Struthio camelus: one gene and its partner. The protein of the gene in region 2 purifies or fractionates together with the protein of the main gene of each other region. This does not show direct contact. Links are inferred from orthologs where the notes say so. Each region holds a gene or a part of one and is shown on either strand. Other genes may lie near its edges.

The links. The genes of interacting proteins can lie anywhere in the genome.
Region 1: the proteins of PPP1CC (region 2) and PPP1R9A purify together in Homo sapiens (affinity purification with mass spectrometry; 6 studies listed by BioGRID and IntAct, counting the BioPlex papers as one, with this or other methods). This does not show direct contact. The link is inferred for Struthio camelus from reciprocal best matches to the Homo sapiens genes PPP1CC and PPP1R9A.

Annotation. Positions count from the first base shown.
Region 1 is NC_090943.1:28,571,261-28,581,569, forward strand, and holds the start of PPP1R9A (neurabin-1), read left to right. Parts: upstream 1-5,987; 5' UTR 5,988-6,083; intron 6,084-6,166; exon of another isoform or gene 6,167-6,422; intron 6,423-6,620; exon of another isoform or gene 6,621-6,712; intron 6,713-7,777; 5' UTR 7,778-8,002; coding exon 8,003-9,469; intron 9,470-10,309. UniProt on the Homo sapiens protein: Binds to actin filaments (F-actin) and shows cross-linking activity. Binds along the sides of the F-actin. May be involved in neurite formation. Inhibits protein phosphatase 1-alpha activity.
Region 2 is NC_090958.1:18,079,973-18,089,825, forward strand, and holds the start of PPP1CC (serine/threonine-protein phosphatase PP1-gamma catalytic subunit), read right to left. Parts: upstream 3,786-9,853; 5' UTR 3,499-3,785; coding exon 3,444-3,498; intron 1-3,443. UniProt on the Homo sapiens protein: Protein phosphatase that associates with over 200 regulatory proteins to form highly specific holoenzymes which dephosphorylate hundreds of biological targets.

The DNA.
Region 1 (10,309 bases), on a different chromosome or scaffold from region 2:
ATAATTCTATACTGTTTATGTGACCATTCCTTCGCTTTCTTAAAGATGTCATTGTAAATTTACAGACTTTGCTATGTTAATGCTTATCTTTTCGTTTTTAAACTTGATGCCAGTGTTCTCTTTTTTTAACGGTATGATAAAGTGGTTACCCTTCTTGACTTCTTTTCTGCTTTACACAAATGCTTTTATTATTAGTACAGAACTCTTACTTACAGATGTCTCTAATTGGTAACTTGGATTTCAATACCATTAAATAATGAAAATAGTTTCTGTACACATTGCTGCACAATGATGTGTTTCTCTGTACCGGCAAAGCGTACAGCTCTTCCAAATTAACTGAATGTTTTTAGCTGGCCTAGTAGCTGATGCCATATAGAACACAGTAATTAAATATTTACTTGCTCTTGTGCACTAAATTAAACTGATTAACAAATCTAGCTTTGAGAGCAAATTTTTCCTGTGGGTATTTTACCAAGGTAGTACTTTTCACCTATCAGTGGAGAGAAAAGCAATCAAAGTATGTGGCAAGTAACCAAAACCTAGTTTTGTTGTACGTTCTGTAAATGACAGATTACTATTTTCAGCTAAGCAGCTGTTTTCTCATTTGTATTTATTTTAATTACTTTTTTTTAAGGAAAAGGGAGAAGCAAATTCCACTAACGCAGTCATAACAGGTCTACATCTATGTTACCAGCAGGGTTTGAACCACAGACTATTACGATGTGAGCTCAATGACAGGCATAGTCATCAGCTTCAGGGTGGAGCAACCTAGACAAGTATTTCCCCGACATGCCAATGTATTGCACACTGCAAGACAGCGCTAGTGTGCTGTATTTCATGATTTCTGGCTTCTATATCTTTCACTGAGGAATCATTTGTTTTTGTCTCCAGAGCGGGAGTACAAGCTCCGAAGTGCCACCAAGTACAAATGGTCAGTCATTTGGAAAAGGTGAAGGCAGAACTTGCTGTCTTACATCTTTCTCATGGCACAGAACACTACTTGATTTGGCAAGGTGGTGAACTCGGCAATCACATTTGCTTGTGTGTTATGTACTGACAGTATCAAGTACACTTTTTAGGTCTGAACATCAAATACATTCCTCCCTCTTCTCCTAGTTTTCCCCTGGCTCATTAAATGTGCTTTCCTTAAGAGTAATAGTGGATATTTACTGCACAATAAATACACTGGAGATAATGCTTTTGCACAGACTGGCAGACCCTGTTAATTTCTGTATTCCCGATTCTGGCTATTGAGAGTAATTTTCTTTTCAACAGAAAATGTGTGTTATAGAAAGTTTTGCTATAATAAAGTATTTATTAATGGTTAATACTATTATGAGATTCCCAACTTTCTACTTTAGATCCAACCATGAAAAATACAACTTCCATATTTATACAGTTAACAGGGAATATATCTCATGCAAATTTGAGGTGTTCTGCTTTGGAATAGTTGAAGTACTAACTTTTCTGACTTTAAATCTTTCTTACTGATGTTGGGATGGAGAGAGAGTTCTCTGTACCACGTATCTACATATGATATCATCTGATGAATCAGATGACTGTGATAGGTACCATTCACCTAGGAATATCTTACTTATTCTGTCAACTAATCGAGGTTAAAGAATGTTTCCTAACATTTTCCCCTCCTGAAGAGCTTAACATTAAATATGTGTTTTGCCAGGGTTTGATTCTTACTAAAAATTTGCATTAGAGTGAACATTTAGTCTTTTCATTTCCTATTTTCTGCAACTAGCTGACATCCTTCTAATTAGGCTGGTAGCTGATGATTGTCTATGTTGTGCTAAAAAACAGAGTTCAGTGTTGAGGGCCAGTGACAGAAGGCTAATGAAATACAGCTCTTTCAACCATTTCTAGCTTTCTATTTTAGCAAAGGCAGTAGTTCAATGTAATTAGTTGTATGTAGTGTGCAACGCTTTTCCTTTTTGAAAAATACTTTCCCATTTTCTTTACTAGCCATAACCGTGCGTTATTTGAACACCTTAAAGTAGAATGTTTAAGAATGGATGTGACAGTATTCTTACAGTAACTCAGAAAGGGATATTGCTGTTCTGAGCTTAGGCCCTCATGATGCTAATATTTGCTTTTCTGTTAAATTGTTAAAACATGAAGTCTTGTTATCATTGCCAGAGCTTCTTTCTTCAGATTTTACAGGACAAAGTCCCCTTTTAGACACTGTTCTTGAGCTTTCAAGTAATTTGATGTTCTGTGTGAAAACAGCACAACCTTCTGAAATTGCCAAATGAGTGATACTAATGAGCTCCCATTTTTAACTATTAATGTCTTCCTGTGGAAGAGATTACAGTCAGAAGAATTACACTCACTGCAACAACAGATTTATAATATTTGAAACTAAATGTTATCAACTCATTATTATAGCTGTGATTGTTGTTTATTTTAGTCTCATGCTACTCTGGTACAGATGGATCCCTAAGTCACCTTATCTTCCAAAATGTTTATATCTCTTTGTTCAGACAAGTTATTTTTCTTTAAATTAGATTATGTAAAAAGAATTCATATTCTCTAACTGGCTGAGAGTGAACGATAAAACTCAGTTCTGCTTATGCTGTGATATGTCTAAAGAAAAAAAACCTCCTTCTCCTCTGCAGTGGTTTGATGGGGCAGCAGATAGACACTTTCTTAGCTGACGATCAGAATAGGTAAATAGTTTCCATTTCTACGTGTATGTACAGATACTGTCTTCCAAGGCTTGAAAGAAGTTGACAAGAGAAAGATGACAGGATGACTTTCTTCTTTTTCCCGGGCCGTGCGGAGAAACTTGCATTACCGCTCTGCTGTGTGAATATATTGCTAATCTCAGTAAATGAGTATCTTTGAAGCACAAGTGTCACTCAGAACAACCCATCAATGACATCCAGATAGTTACGTTCATAAGTAAACATAATCCACACATGAAATGAATGGAAAATTGATTATTTTAAGCCTTGGAGTACTGCATCAAAACTGGTTTAAAAAGAGACTGAGTAAAATTTAAAGTGATGCTGTCAGGTTAAACGACTTGGGTCTCTCTTCCTGTCGTATGTGCACATTCAGAATCATGTGAATGGAGCTGTTGCTCTGGTGCCGTAAAATGACAGCCACGCTCTACCCTATGTAACTATTCAACTGAACAGATCTGAAACTTGCGTTGGTTTGGGAGCAGAGTAGTTCCGTAACTTCAGTGAAGTTATTGAGTTTATCCTAATGTAATAAGGAGAAACTTGGTCTCTTATCTTCCCCAGAGTGTGCTGTGCAGTGTTTTAATGTTGCTTAGGAATTAACAGAAATGTCAATCATGCTTTAACAGAGCCTAAAAATACCTTCTAGTCAAATGGATTGACACAGAAATACTAAAAATGTAAAAGGATCCACAATTCTTGTGGATTTTTATAGTTAGTTGCATGGCCATGCTCATGTATGAGGAGTCTCTCCTGGAAGGTGACATACTAATCAAAACAAGATACATTTTATTATTCTAGAGACTGTATAATACTGTTGGTTTAACATAGGCACTGTGTAAATAAGGACGTAGAATGAAGAGTTTTCGTGAGTGACTAATAAGTTTGAATATCTTAGATGTCAGTAGCCAAAATCAGATCCCCTAAATAAGGTCCAAACTATCTCTGAGCAGCTAAAATTACCAGTAGTTGCCACAAATCTTGGCAGTTGTCAGCATGAGGTGGTGTTGAGAGAACATAAAATTATTTAAAATGGCTTTGTGTTAGCTTCTGTGTCAGAGGCAGGCAGAGTCCTCTTTAACTGCTATGCAATCTACTTAAAAGACATTAAAGTAGAACATAAATGTAATTATAACCTTTCTCAGCGTGAAAAGCTTGAGGTTTCTTGTGTGCTTGATCTGTCAGCAAGTTGCTCCATCAGAGTACGTCATCTCATTCCCTTGTTTTCTACTGAAGTATAATATATGGATTGCATTATCCGGCCATAAAATAACACAAATGTTTTCCTGGATAGATTATTTAAAAAATATATTAATGGGGGGGGGCAGGAGTGCCAATTTTGCTTGAAATTTTTCTGTTAGATAAAAGATTTAAGTAATAATTACAGCTTTGAATATGTGCCACGTAGATACAGTACTGGGTAACTTCTTAATTATTTTCACAGGTGCTAATTACTCTCTTTAAAATTGCTTTAGTTGTTTCATCTCATTTAATGTTGTGTCACCTTTTTTCTTGTGGTAAAATGTGAATTATAAAACTCTTCCATATACATCTCTAGTAAGGACATAGTAAGTTCTTTAACGATTCTGCATGCTTAGTCTAAATTCACAAAATAAAACATTTACATTTCTGCTTTATGTCGCTATTCATTGCTGTTCTCTGTGGAGGGAAAATAAAGGAGACTTGAAGTTCTCTTAACGTATTTTTATCTTCAGAAGTCAAGCAGCTCTCTTAAGTATTCTTATGGTTTTATTTCCACAAAATGATACTAATAGAAAGACACTGTCAAATATGTTGGGCCTCAGATCTGGTATGTTATTTGATGTTAACAATTTAATAGTGAATATCCTGGTTAGTTGTAGCCTTTCTAGTCCTCGCGCAGGGAAACAGCTGTAGGAATCCTCAGCAGAAGAAGCTGTGAAGCAGCAGTTGTTCCATCATCCTTCTGCTTTAGGATACTGTCTCAGAAGTGAAGTTTTCTGCAACTGCTTTTGAAGTTCGGGTATCTATATCCTCAGTCATTACTTACCTCCTGTGATCTCCCTTTCTCCCTGCTGTGCTGCAGCGCTTTGGCATGGTAATGCTGAGCAGCCTTTAGGGCATGCAGCATGCCCCCCCCCCCCCCCCCCCCCACACTCCGTGCTGCGAGCCTCACCTGCCAATAGCCTGAGTGGAAGCCACGCAAAGCATCAGGACAGGCTTCTTCCCAGCGGTGGAAAAAACGCTGTTTAAATGTTCTCGCTTCTGATTCTGCCCTTTAGCATACATTCTTACGGAAATATTCTTTTTCAAGGTGTTTTAAAAGACTGGAATTTTTTTCCCAGTGGGTATTAATGTGTTAGATATTTAAACTCTATTGAGGCAAATATTCCGAGTTGTACCCTTGGTGCAAATGAGAAGACCGACATCTGCACATACCTAGAATGGTATATGGTACACGTGGCTTCTGTCTCATTAAAACTAATGAATTACGTTTGTAAAGCTGTCTACCTTACACCTTTATTTTCAGTCACTTGTATCTTGATTCTGTATACATAATAATGATTTTTCAGTATTTGCAATGTACATCCTCGGGCCATTTCTTGGACGTTTATGCAATTAGTTTAATGAACTTTGCTTGGAGGTTGCTGTGGGATTAGGAGTCACTACCGTCTTGGCTTGCCAATTTTACAGATTCCGTAGAGATCGCGCGCTCCGCAGTTAAGTTTTCTTACTCACTGTTTAAAGCCAAAACATGTTTGTGGCAAATTCACCTAGCTAACAAAACAACGGGAGAAAGCTGGTTGCGGTTATACTGTGTAAGTACAGTAATCTCCTGTCATCCTGCCTCCCTTTCGGCAATTGCCAGAACAAGTCACGTTTACGAGAGTTGTTTAGTGGTTTGTCTGGATTTGTTAGCAGTGCATTACTCGTTTAGGTAGGCTGTGTTACATGCCTTATTTTTTAAGAGCTAGGGCGGGAGCCTGCAAGCCCCGCTCCGCGGCGGAGTCGCGGCGCGCTCGGCTCGGCGCCGCGCCGCCCCCGCGCTCCCTGGCCGCCGCCGCCGGCACCGTGCCCCGCTCCGGCCGAGCCGCCCCGCCGCGCACCCCGCTCTCCTCCGCGGGAACGGGCGGGAGGCGGCGATCGCCAGCGCTGCGGACCCGGTTACCGAGCCGCTTCCTCCGGCCGGGGGAAAACCCGCCGTCCCCGGGCTGGAGAAGCCGGGCGAGCGGAGCCGGGCGCTGCGGCCCGCGGGCAGGCGGCGCCCGGGGCGCGGCGGGGCGGGCTGGGCGGGCCGCTGCGGCCGGGGCCCGGCCTCTGCCGCTCCGCGCCGCCCGCCTCGGGCCGGGCTGCGGCGGGAGCGCGGCCCGCCCGCGGCGGAACAGACCATTGCGGCTGGCCGAAGAGGTGAGGCACCTGTCACCCGCCGGCTGCCGGCGGCCCCAGAGCGGCGGCCGCGCCGCGCCGTGCCGTGCCGTGCCGGAGGGGGCGGGAGCGGGGCTGCGGCGGGGCGCGGCGGCTCGCCTCCTCCCCCGCGCCGCGCCGCGCCGCGCCGCGGGTGTGTGCGCGGAGCCGTGTCGGTGCCCCAACCGCCGCCGCCGCCGCCGCCTGCAATGGCGTTGAGGCGCCGCGGCGGTTGGTGCCTCCTGTCAGGCGGGTGGCGGCAGCGGCCGTTCTCCACGGAGGCGCCGAGCAGCCGGCGGCCGCAGGAGGAGCGGGGGCCGCGCTGAGGCGGGAGGCTGGCGGGTAAGGAAGCGTGCGCGCCGCGGGGAAGGCGCGGAGGAGCCGCCGCAAGGGGCTTTTGTTCCCTGGCGCCCGGCAGGCACAGCCGGGCCCGGCCGCGCCGCGCCGGGGCTGCCGCCCGCGCAGCCCTGCCCGCCGCAAGGTGCTGCCGCCCGCGGCCCGCGCCTTCCAGCCTGCGCGTCGCGGCGCTGCCCTCGGCGCTTTTAAGTTTATTTCCTCCCGCGCCCTTTCCCGCGAGCCGCCAGCGCGGCGGATGTCGCCGGGAGGGCGAGGATAGGGGGCGACTGGCGCAGGTACGCGGGACGGCTGGGCTCCGCTCCGGCCGTTGGCGCGTGCCGCTCCCGGCCGTTGGAGGCCGCGCGCCGCCGCCGCCCCTCAGCTCGGAGCCGCCGCGCCCTGCCCGGCCCGGATCCGCGGCGCGGCCGGGTGCGTTTCGCAGCGCGTTGTGCTGCATCGCCCAACGTGATGTGGCTTCGCCTTGCCGGGGTGGGGGGGGGCAGGGGAGGTGTGTGCGCGTGTGTGCGCCCCCCGGCGCGGTCCGGCCGCCCCGCGCAGCGCGCCGAGCGGGCGCCGAGGCGTTTGGCCGGCCGTGTGGCGCTGCGCGGGGCCCGGCGGCCGCGGGGCCCCCGGGGCCGATCCTGCCGGCAGCTGCCCGCGGGCGGCTGGCGGGGCGCTCCCCTGCGCCCTGCGGCGCTGGCGGCACTGCCGGCGGCCAGGGACAACTTTTCCTAACTAGGTTTCACTTTCTTTGCTGTTTGAGCTGAGAGCGTTAGCTGTGGGTGCAATTTTTCTGTTTCGCTCGAGCTCCTGTTTCATTTTGGAGCAGTCTTTCTGAGTGTGTTATTTGAGAGGGTATTTCTACCATTATGTTTCCCTGAGAGAAGAAGGGTTATCTTGCAGTGCCTCGGGGAAGCAGAACCATCGTGTTTGCATCGAGTTATTTTAGGGTCACATATAAGACACTCGGAGGGTTGTGGGGTTTTTTTGATTCTGCTTTTCTCTTGTCGCTGAGGAAGAGTTTGGTACGATAAAAGTAGTGGTATTTCTCTTGTCGCCTTGTTTTTCCTTTGCATGTTTGTGACGTGATACATCTTTGTGAACAGTTAGACATGATAATCCATGCTTTCACTATGGAGTGATGTTAGAGTTATTTTATAAATTTGCCAATTGTTCAGCAATCAGTTTGAAAAAAACTGTAATTACTTACAAGTGTTCATATGTTTGTGTGCTGCTGGGTTGTATTTTTTCCTTGTTTTGTAAATGTAATTTCAAATAACTATATAAAGGGAAAGTGTCATTTAGATTTAAGGAAGTACAAGTGCATGACATGATTCAGAAAGCCTTACTTTCTGTTGCAGGTTACATCTACGTTTGTTCCCAAAAGCCCTCCTCGGTCTTGCTGCTTTGTCACAATTGACTCCATATGTTTAGATATTTGCCTCCAGATCTTCTGTCAGGCACGGCCCTGCCGAAGAGCAGTGCTGCCTAAGAAACGCTTCTCAACCAGAATCTCAGTTGTAACAGGTTGCTGAGAGTGGTACCTCCGTAATTATGTAAGGTGGTTTTGCACTCCTGAAGTAAACATGATAAAAACAGAGTCTTCAGGAGAAAGATCAACCCTCCGAAGTGCCTCTCCTCACAGGAATGCTTACAGAACTGAGTTCCAGGCGCTGAAAAGCACCTTTGACAAACCGAAATCAGATGGAGACCAAAAAACGAAAGAGGAAGGAGAGGCCTCCCAGAGCAGGGGGAGGAAGTATGGCTCAAATGTCAATAGGATTAAGAACTTATTTATGCAGATGGGCATGGAGCCCACTGAAAGTGCTGGAGTTACCCCTAAAACAAGGGGAAAGGGTGGCCCACCATCACCTCAGAGGCGAATTAGGCCCAAAGAATTTGTAGAAAAAACGGATGGTTCCATTGTAAAATTGGAATCTTCTGTTTCAGAAAGGATTAGTAGATTTGATACTATCCATGATGGCCCTTCTTATTCTAAGTTTACTGAAACTCGAAAGATGTTTGAGCGAAATGCTCATGAAATGGGACATTCCAATCGCTATTCCCCAAAGAAAGAGAAAGTGGTTTCCAGCGAGCTTCCGGATGAGTGGTGCAGCTCTAAATCTCACAGAGGCAGCACTGATTCATTGGACAGTCTTAGCCCAAGGACAGAGACTGTCTCTCCAACTGTGAGTCAGCTCAGTGCAGTTTTTGAAAACACTGACTCACACAACGTAATTGTTTTAGAAAAGTCAGAGAACAATGAAGAATACTCTGTAACTGGTCACTATCCACTAAATCTGTCTTCTACCGTTGCAAGTATCTCCTCCCCTGTTGCAAACCTTGAGGGGTTCAGTCCTTTGAAAGATGCCGGCACGTGGTCTCCGCCAGCCAAACAAAGTACAAGCTTGGCATCCGTTGAGAACTCTCAGCAAAATAGCACACCTTCCCCATCAAGGCAGAAAACGTCTATAGGCACTTCATCGGGTTCAAAACCAACTGAAGAAATAAAAAAGAAAACGGAGGCAAGTGCTGATTCTGTTGATAGCTGTGTGGTGAGTCCACAGGATTTGGTCAATGCACCTGACAGTGAAAGGTCTGTGGACAGTTGTGCTAGGCATAAGTCAAAAACAGACACGGAAGTTTTGTTGCGACAAAAGGAACGATCAGAAAATGCAGAGGGTATCTTTGATAGGCCTGAAGCTTCAGAAATACCAAGAAATTTGGTGTCAGGTGGTGATTTTGCAGCAGATGCCGTTTCAGATGCTGCAGAGTCCCATTTTGATGAGACAGGTGAAAAGGAGGTAAATGAAGATGTGAGCAATTTCCAGAGTTCCCATGTGTACATGCACTCTGACTACAACGTATATAGGGTACGATCGAGGTATAATTCTGACTGGGGAGAGACTGGTACAGAACAGGATGATCAGGATGACAGTGATGAGGATAACTGTTATGAACCTGATATGGAATACTCCGAAATTAATGGATTGCCAGATGAAGATGAAATCCCAGCCAACAGAAAAATACAGTTTAGCCGTGCTCCAATTAAGGTAAAGTTTCCTGCATTTATTTTTTGCGATTTGGTTCATTTTTAAATGCAGCTTTGTTTGAAGCAGATTTTGACGGTTGTCTCTGAAAAGATTGCAGAGCATCTTCAGATGCTCATTTCTGTTACAGTCAGCCAGTGAGCATAACCCCAAGTGATGCAAGGGAGATGAGCTCTGAAGAACTTTGATTATTTCCTAGCATACCTTATGGCTGATGAAGCTAGCAGAAATGAGAATGACAGCTAGGTTTGCAAAGTTTTGAAATTGTGACATGCATGTTTTGATTTATATGGCTATGAATTATAATCCCATGTGAAATGTAGAAGTGGGTATTTGGTGGCCTTAACGCTTGTTGTGTTTTCATTTGAAATTGTAACTTCTTTAGTTTGGTTGGCCTCTCTTACTTTAACTTGCCTCAGATGTTCTTTAAAGTTACTATATTGAAGCACCGTGTCACGAATTACAATGTGCTACTGAAGAGTGTTTTTGTCTCACTAATAGAAGACCGTTAATATTCTATATCTGAATCAATATAATCTTTTCTAATACTATCTTCACTATTCAAACTTGTTCATACCTTTATGTATGTTTAGTATATGTCAGTTTAAGAGGCTACTGAAAGGTAAAAGATGTCATACTGAACAAACGGTGGGTTTCTTGCAGAGTTTTTTGGGTTTGCTTTTAAGTACCTTGAAATTGTAGCTAAGAATGTGGACTGCTCCAGGTATTTCAGCATGGGACGGAATAACTAGTGTAGTGTTTTGCTATACCAGCATTTCACAGCTGAGTCTCAGGGTTAAGTATAAAAGTATTTTACTTTCGAGCTGTTTAATACACGTGGTC
Region 2 (9,853 bases):
GTTTATCCTTTCTTATTCCTCAGTAAAGTGAGCTTGCTCTATTATATTTGAGCCTATATCCGCTATCAAAGACATTGAGGAAACATTTCAATACTCAATGGAGCATACTGTTATTTACTATACTCTGGAAAGCCTTGCTCTTGTGAAAATCATTGCTAGGAAAGTTACTAGAAGTGACAAAATTAGACAAACTGTTCCTAGTAGAATATAACCCTCATTAGCAAAGGAGTAAGGCAAATAAAATATAAATTCAATTACAACAAAAAAAAGATCACTATGTTCAATGTTTTCATCAAGCCGCTCTCCAAGGTTGAGAACAATGTCACTGAAAAAATGTTTTTGGTGACATTTCAATGCCAAATGGCTCTGTACTATAAACATTTGGAGAAAAAAAGACTCTCCAAATATTTACCTTAGAATGAGAAGCCAAATAGATGCTTCCAAGCCTTTTAAAGGATAATCTAGTAATTTCAGCTAAATAGCCTAATGTGGGTGGGATATATCAACTATTTGGGGAAAAAGTAAGAATAATGTCATTTGATAAGAACAATTGTCTCAATTTTTATAAGAGGAGATGGCAGAATAGAAAGCAAGTAAAACCCCCTCACAAATACATTATTAATACCCTATATTAAGAACAAAAGCTAGAGTAATTTATTATTCACCATTTAACCACTTCACTCCACCTGGACAATTAGACTAGATTCACTACCTGCTTAACTCTTTGGGTCTCATCCAACAGTGCAATACACCAAGACATATTATAAAATACAAATATCCACTATTTTCTTACCGATTTGAAATATTTCATAAAGTATCTCCATAACATTGATTTTATTACCTTTAAAAAGGAAGAAGGGATTACTGCCACATTACATATTCATATCTTTACTTTTTTTTAAGCAAAATCACCTGAAATAACTGTTATAAAAATACATAAGCATACAGTTTAAAGATAGGTATAACTGGTAAAATATCAAATTGATTTAAAAATTAAACCTTGAACAAGGATTTGGGCAATTCAATTTGCGAGTCAGCTAGTTATTAAAAGAGTTTTTGTAGTGAGTATGTGGTTGGCTATCATTTTAATCAGTGCAGAATCCAGCCCGAAAAGGGAGCAGAATCCTGGGTACAGACATACCAAACTTTATATAACTGAACATGATGCAATTCTACTAAAACTGCACTGAAAAAGAACTATATTGAAAAAGAACACTACACTACATACAAATGTCTTAAATTTCTCATGCTCAGTCCAAATCTAAAAAGGATTAAAAATTCTCTTACACACACCCTTTAGATTTTTGGTTTTTTTGATACCACGCAGAGCTGCCCTTTAGATCAATCTTGTCATCTACCTAGCTGTATCTTAATAACCTCAGGAAACAGATGAGTCAAGAAAATTTCAAACAACTACAGAGAGAATGGCGTTTGCACAGTAATTCACACAATTTAGCAGTCTATCAAGAATGCAGCACTAGCCCAAACGCATTATCATTTTGCCCTCTCTGGAAAAAAAAGAAATTGTCACAAAGGTCAACCATTGCTCTAAGAAAGCTGTATTATACCTTATATAATATATTTTCAATAAGCAATAAACAAGACAAATATATAGGTGTAAATATGCCATGGGTTATTAACATTCATAATTGTTTTAAATACCAAAAGACATTTGTTGCCCCAAGAAATCAGAAATTCTAACTAAAATGTCAAAGTAAAAAAATTATTTCAGTTCTGACAGCTGACGCAACCCTAGGTAATAATATCTTTTGTTACACAGTCATCTCAAAGATCTTGTCAGTGAAGCTTCTGAAACCTCATTTATAAGCTCTCATCTCTCAATGTACAATACTTATACAAGCCAGGTAAGAATTTAACATATTGATATAATACATCTTATTACTTGTTGAAATCCAGAACAAGGGAAATAATTCAAATTATTCAGACCTTTTTTAGGCTTATTTCAAGTCTTTGATATTAGTAACTTGCACTTTGAGAAAACTGCATGAGTTGCATTACAGCAAATCAAATAAAAATTATACTATCTGCAATAAAATTAAGCATCTATTAATATGTCACCAAGCATGTAACACACAGGACCTGATACCTACAAAGTGTATTAGAGCATCAGGAAAACACTGGTTTAAATTACAGACAGAAGCCTCCAAACAACTTAAATCAGGAGAGTTTAAACTGGCAACAAGCAAAACCTAAAACAGATCAGAGAAAAAACACTATTTACTTTTCTTCATTCTAGCTGAACAATCCCAAAATACACCCGCTGGATTTGTAATCCCAACCAATTTTATAGAAGCACTATTGCCCCTTTGCCTTGCCTATTATTATTCGGGTCATGACATTTAGTGAAATTTTACAAGAAAAAAATTGGGAGAGCGCTCAAAGGCATTTCTTCACTATTTGTCTCAGCAAAATCTTGGATGACTTTGTGCCAAACAAAAAAGTTAAATGCCTGACCAAGCTCTTCAAGCAAAAATCCAGATGAGATGCCTGCTCTGACACACTTAAAATGAGGCTGGATCAGTCTAGCTTCCTTCTCTAAATAATTATAATCTTTCTTGGTGCTAGGAAGAAAATTTGTCATCGGCTGCTTCTCAACCTTTTGCCCTAGGAAAGATTAGCTGACAATTCTAACCTGATCCTGACCCTTACAACCAAAGGGAAGACGCTGCTGACACCTCCTGCAACATCTAGATTTTCCTTAGATGTTGAACTCCATTCAACTCTTTTCAACCCAAAGCACTAGCGATACAGGACAATAAGCCCTTCCAAATATCGTCTAAAACAGAGCAAAGGCCAACCTGTAATTCGCGTTTTAAAAGCCACCATATGTTACGCGTTAAGACCTAAAGTCTAATGGTAGTACTAATGCAAGCAGTTAATCAGCGCTAAAAATATGATACCCTGAACCCAGGTAAGTCCCCTGTCGACTTTCTGAAAAGCTGCCTCGACAGACTCTTTAAACATGGGAAGGCTTAATTTCCAGAGCCCCACGACTACCTAGCGAAGCCCAGACCCCGTGCGCGTGTAGCGAAGGCAAGCTTAAGCATTCAGGTTTTTAAACACTCCCCTACGAAAACCTTACTCAGCTAAGCATCTCCGTAGAGCTGCAGGGCTGGAGGAGGGGGCCAGCCGGCGGGTCTCAGCCCTGCACCGGGAGGACCCAGGGGATGGGAGGGCAGGGACGGCTCGGGAAACATGAGGGCTAGGGGAGAAGTTGGGGCCGGAGGGCAGGGGCGCCCGGGCCGGCGGCGGCGCCGAGCCCCGGCAAGACAAAGCGCCTCGGCGCCCCTCCATTTTGGTGCCCCGGCCCCAGCGGGCGCTCAGGGGCCGGGGCAGCCCCGCGGCGGAGCCGGCGGTGGGCTCGGGGGCACCGGCTCGGCCTCCGCCCCCTCCCCGGGCTCCCCCCGCGCCCGGACCCTCACCCTCCAGCAGCCGTTGGATGATGCTGTCGATGTTCAGCTTGTCTATATCCGCCATCGCCTCTCAGCGGCCGGGCGGACCCCTCCCCGCGGCTCCCCTCCCTCCGCTCGCTGCTTGGCCGGCCTGACTTCTCTCCTCGGTCTCTCTCGTCTTTTCCCTTCCTTTTCTCCTCCCCGCGCTCCTTCTTCCCTCTCTCGCTCCGTCCCCCCCCCGCCCCCCCTCGGCCGCCGCTCTCAGCAGAGACCCAGCACTGAACAAAATGGCCGCCTTCCCCTCAGCGAGCGCGGCCGGCGCACGGATACTACAGGCGCGACGCGGCTCACCGGAAACCCTTTATAGGCAGCGCGGGAAGCACGCGGAGGAGGGCGGGGCGGCGCGTCACGGCGTGCTGCACGCGCGGGATCCTTCCGCCGCCGCGAAGAGGCGAAATAGTCCGGCGCGAGCGGGCGCCGCGCGTGTGCGGCCTCGCGTGTGCGGCGCCGCGGCCGGGCTGCGCCTGGCGGGCGCTAGGCCCTTGGCAGGGAGCCGTTGATGCGGCTCCCACGAGGGGTTTTTCCCTTCGGCCCTGCCCCACGGCCGAGGCCCGCCGCGGCCAGCTGCCCCCCGTGAGGCGAGGCGCAGGCCGGGCCCCTCGGCCTCACCTGCCCGGCCCGCAAAACGGGGCGAAATAACACCGAGCGCGGGTGTTTTCCCTCGCCGAAACGCGGCAGCGGGGCGCCGAGGCCCGGCCGGCGCGCGGTCACGCCAAGCTGCCTCGCCGCAGCGGCTCTGGGCGCTCGTGCGAGGGGCTCTGCGGCGGGCGCGCGCCCTTAGGCCTCCGAGTAACGTGGTGCGTGCGGCTCTCCCCGGGCGACTGCTTTTAAGTACCGCTGTGCAGCGCTTTGAAATCCTTAGGGGGCCGGCCGGGGAAATGAGCGTTTTTTTTTTTTTTCCAGAGCGCCTTGCTGTTTTATTTCACATTTCCATTATTATTTTATTCGTGCATGGCAAAGGCTTGGCCGCGAGCAATTAAGCGAGGTTCTGCTCGTAAATTGGATCGCGTTTGCAAGGGAGATGGGGCTGTGCAGGCCTTTGCTAGCGTTCAGTCTGCATCTCTGATTGAATATTGTTTAATTGCTTTATTTACTCCTACTTTAATTTGCAGGGATGGCTGTGTCAACCACTTTCCTCCTCCCCGTGTGCGTTGCTCATGCTATGCATGCCAGATTCCTCATGCTGACAGTTACATAATACTCATATAACAGTTTATTACCGTGGTGGGGCCAGAGCAGAGTTCAGGTTCGGGAGGGTGATAAAGCAAAGGACTTGCAGCCTCAGCACACCTTGGAGGCAGCGTGAGGGAGGAAAGGAGAGGGCGCAGAGCCAGGCGGTCTGCGACGCGGGCGCCTGGCCGTTGCCAAACGCGGCTTCGACATTCGAGTTCCCCGAGCGAGCGCTTTATCGTAATGAGCGCGCCCGAGCCCGTACGCTAATCTCGGTCACACTGGTGTAAGCCCAAAGCAACCCCGCTGCAGACAATAGCGTTACTCCAGGTTTACTTCAACGTGACAGCATTTGCAGATTTACATCTATTCCTGGGCTGCGCCTTCCCAGGGGCAGCCTCCCCTCCCTGGCTCTTTCGCACCAAAGGCTTTCCTTTCAAATCCCGGCTAATTCTGTGGGGCAGGTTTTTCTCTAGCAAACTCCTTTGGACTTAACTGAATTGTTCAAAGAGGGAAATTGGTGCTGCGTTTCCAGAGAAACCTTCCTGTCCTTGTTTTCTTTGCTGGAAATGTCTTCATCTTATCTCATCCTTCAGCTGTTACTCCCTCTCCCCTGACGCCCTCCCCTAGGACCAGTCCTGCACGGATCTGAGCACCTTCTGCGGCACGCTGAGTCCCTTTCACTCCTGTTAATGCTCGGGGAAATTGGGGGGGGGAGCTCAGCACCTTCCAGCATGTGACCCAGGAGATTTAATCCTCTGCGCATGGAAATTTATCGGGAACATCACACTCCTGGAAGGAAGGATCAGGCCCTTCAGAGGAGACTATATCTCACTTGATGAACCAAATCAGGCAAGGTTCAGAGCACCATCAATTTGCGTTAGAAGAGGCATAGCAAAGGGGAAGTGAGAGAAGTGACAGAGCGAGGGAAATATATTCAGACCCCAATATCACCTTGATAACCGGCCTGCTTTGCTGCAGCTCTGCTCCTGGGTCTCGGCAGCAGCTGGGAACGCTTGGTCTCCTGTTCGGAGGGGAAACTGTATTTTTGCACAAGGTCTTTTGCATTTACATTTTTGCTATATCAACACAAAAAATGAGAACGCTTACTTAACAGCAGTAAACTCCATGCGAGCCACAGTTATTAAAAAGCCACCACAATGTTATTTTTTAATAAGCTAATTTTTCTCTGCTGAAAATAACAAGCCTCACCCCACAACAGCTTCTCTTGATTAAAAAAGGGACACAGCCAAGGTGTTAAATATCCTGAAACTATTTTTTTCCTCCAGTGTTGCTCAGAACAATGATTTATTTCTAGAGGGGGAACAATGAGGGATATCCCTTTGCCCTTAAACGCTGCATGCAGACTTGAAGCGTTTGATAATTCTCAACTTAGAGTTCATATATTTCCCCCTTCCTTGTATTTGTCTACAGTTTGCATTATAGTTTGCTAAATACACGATGATGTACGATTTATCTTGCTTGCAGCTGTGAGACCTTTGTGTCTCGTCCTCCCTCCCCTCCTGAAATTCCACAAATAAATCACTGCTTGAGTAACATTCCTTGGAAGCCTCAGGATAAAATATCTTTCCCTCCTGATTTGTCCTCCTCATGTCATGCATATACTACTTTGCTTATTGTAGGGTTGCTCGTATTCTGGGCTGTTGGGGGATAGGATGTATAAATATCTTTATATACTTATATATATATATATATATATATACACATGTATAGATAATCATGAAACGCTCCTTTTTTTTTGTTCCAGTATGTAGGTGGATCCTAAGAAATGCGAGTCACCCACGCTTCCCCTTGCTTTAGATTACATATTTGCTAAGTCCGTGAAATTCAATGTGTTTGTGTACATTTTAAACAAAGATCTACAAGGGCTGTTCAAACACTGGAAGAATAAAAAATGTGGGGCAAATGTTGTTTCTCCTGACTAGATATTCAGATATGATTTAAATGTTTTCATAGCTCGTACTGTTTGCATCCAGATAGCCTGCTGTTATGATCAAGATAAACTTTTTATGGATGCCTCTTATTCCTGATGCCTAAAGTATTTCACTGACCCCAAAATTTTGGATGTTGCCAGAGTCTGGGGGCAGACGGTGGCAATTTTTCAGGCAAACGAAGAGCAGCTGGGCAGTGCCATGAGGCTGCTTTGGAGATGTAGGGGTCTGTGTTCTGCTTGGAAAGGAGTCGGTGACGCAGAATCAGGTATTTTCTTAGTGTCCTGTTTTATTTACAAAACATACAGTGCATTGATCTGCCTTGAGCAACAAGACGTGCGAGCTGCAGGCGGGCGCGCAGGTCCTTTGCGAGGGACCCGAACGAGAGAGCAAGGCTTTCCGCTGCTCCGGAGCCGCTGCCTTCGCCCTGGGGCTCACGGGGGATTTGTACCCAGTGCAGAGGCCGGACGCCAACGGCAGAGCGCCTCCCGCGCTCCCTTCTCCCTGCTTACCAAACTTTTGCTTTTCTGAAGTCGTCAGCCCACGCATGAGAAAATTAGGAAGCCTTGTTTTCCCTGTGCAACACCTTGACCCTGAGGCTGTGGGAGAAGTCCGCTCTCTGCTCTGGGGGAAAGCGCCCAGCCTTTGCCTGCGCAGCCGTTTGCCATCGCATAGCGCCCGTATTCCCCTCCACCCCTCCTCCCCCAAAAGCCAGGCCTTGAATTTTCCACGGAGCCGAAAATTTCACAGTCTCAGCAGTTGGTTTCCCTCTGAAATCTCCCAGCAAAGGAAACTGCCAACAACAATGACAAGCCTATCTCAAGTTTGTTAGAATCACATTTTCGATAAAACATGTTAAAAGATTCTGTTCGAAAAATCTTGAGACATGGTAGAAATGTTATTTGCAGTTCCTCCCCTCCTACCTTTTTTTTGTCAAAGTTGATGTACTTCAAGGCTTTCTCATGAAAGGTATTTTTGGATGGGAAAATGTTCTGCTGGTAAGTCTTGGAAAGTTCACACTGGCAAAAATACTACCAGTAAAACCCTTCTCATATAAAAATGTCCTAAGTCACTTTTTTTCTGATACAGCTGTGACCACAGTAGGATTTTCCTGCTATAGCTATTTGGATTAAAAACCCAGCACGTTCCAGCCTCTCAAGGAGTGTGTTCTAGGGATCTGGCTTTTGAGGCTAGACCAGGCACAAGACCTGTTTGGAGAAGAGCAGATTGGCGCGTCATGCCGCAGCTGCGCATCCCTGCTCGAGCGTGGCGGAGGGCCGGTCCATCGCTAAGACTGAGAGGGGAAACGGGGCTAAAGAAGACTTTGTCCTGCTTTAAGCGGTGAACAGCCGTAATGGATCAGTTGACGCTATTTTGGCAAGGACCGGAGCCCCTGTCTTCCCCTCTTGGGCCGGGAATCTCTGTGCTCTGCCAAAGGCCGAGTTTCATAACTAGCTAGAAAGCTTTTGCGGGTTTCCGTGGGGCTCAGCTGATTGCCACGGAGCCATTCAAGGACGGGGAACGAAAACAACGTGCGCAGCAGCCAGCGCTACGCGTCCAGCGAAGGGCTTTTCAGTCCTCCTTTAGCTGGTCCATGGCAGGGCGAACATAATCTCCTTTTTGTCTTTGCTGCGGAGGAGAGAGGCAGCCGGGAGCGAAGGGGTTCGCTGAGCGTCTCTCCTCTCGGTCTGCTTGCTCAGACATCGTTACAGAGGGTTTCAATTTTCCCACCATGTGGAGTGGACACTGCAAGAGGGGGAGAGGCCACCGCACCTTGGAAAGGTTAAGGGGACATTCTGGGCAGCTTTGACTTCACGTGGCTTGAAGAAAGCACTTCAGGGATGTTCTTCATTGCATTGGCCAGAAAAGCGTGTTAGCAGCCCGGGACTGGCAAGTGGCTGGGCTGGGACACAGCTGGCTTCTTCGCTTACACTGATTTTACCCCGACATAACATGCTCATGACATGGATGAACTCTTTCTCTAATTAAAACCAATGAGAGTGGAGGACCAGGAGGGCTGTCAGGTGAGCATGGAAGCAGAAATAAGATGAAGATCAGTTCTAGCTTGATTTTTCCTTTGTGAAACGGTGGTTGCGCTTCTGAGTGCCGCGGGGGGAGAGCAATCATGGCACAAGAGAAGTGGGAACGAGCTGGAGATCTTCAGCACACCCTGGGCATCACTGGCTCCACCAGGAAATTTGAAACGCAGATGAAATACGTGGGAAGAGGGCATCTGGCCTGCAGATACCTGCCGGCTTACAGGAGGCCGGTGTCCCAGGAGCACCAAAGGTCAGAAGTGCTCAGAGCATGGTGGCTTTGCTGGTCCAGGTTTGGGTTTCCCTTACGCTCCTGCAAATCCAGAACAGTCCCACTGACTCCAGTCGGACGCCTGGAGTTTCTGCTTCTTTGCAGTGTCTGAAAACGTGGTCCATTGTGGAGGTAGCTGCCACGTGTGTTTGTTTATTTGTTTCTGTTCTCACCTCCTCCTCTCAGCTGTCCCTTAGTGAGGCAGGCAGATTTTCGGGAGCCAGGCTGCTGTTACATATTGTTGAGCCAAAAGGTACGCGCAAGGATTCGGAGGCTTTGAACCCTGCATTCCCGCCTGGTTCGTCCGTGTAGCTCGGACACATCACTGCAAACTGCTGCTTTGCCCTGGAGCTTCCTCTGCTCTCAGCATCCCTCGGAGCCGGGACGAAACGTGGAGGAGGACGTCCTTAGCGGGTCCGCTCAGCGCGTGCTGCCTTTGCCGCAGCCGCGTTCAGCGTCCGCGTGACTGCAGGTGGAGTCGGGGCTGGATGTGCTGTGTGCGAAACCGCAGCGTCTCGCAGGCCCCCGAGGGAGCGTGGCCGGCGCTCAGGACTGGATAAGCAGTAGCAGTTTCCCGGCTGCGGGAGCGGGTACCGGGCTGGTTTCACCCATCTGAAATCCGCAGCCGGAGCTGCGCTGAGCTGCGCTCTTGTGGGCTCAGCCGACTCGCACCCGGCTCCGGAGAGCGGTTTCCAGGGATGCCTGAAGTGACTCAAGAGGAAACCTTCTTCCTCCTGGGACAGCCTCTGCTCCACGTCCCGGGCAGCCGCAGCTGGGCAGAGCCCGTGGGACCCTCCGGAGAGGACGTGGGGGCTCAGCCCAGCGGTGGAGGTGGAGGCCCGGGATGTGCTGCACCGCCGCGGAGCAGAGCCCCCCGAACGCGCCGGCGAGGCGCCCACGGAAAGGCAGGCAGGGCAGGGGCCAAGCTGTCCTCCATCTCACCGAACGCGC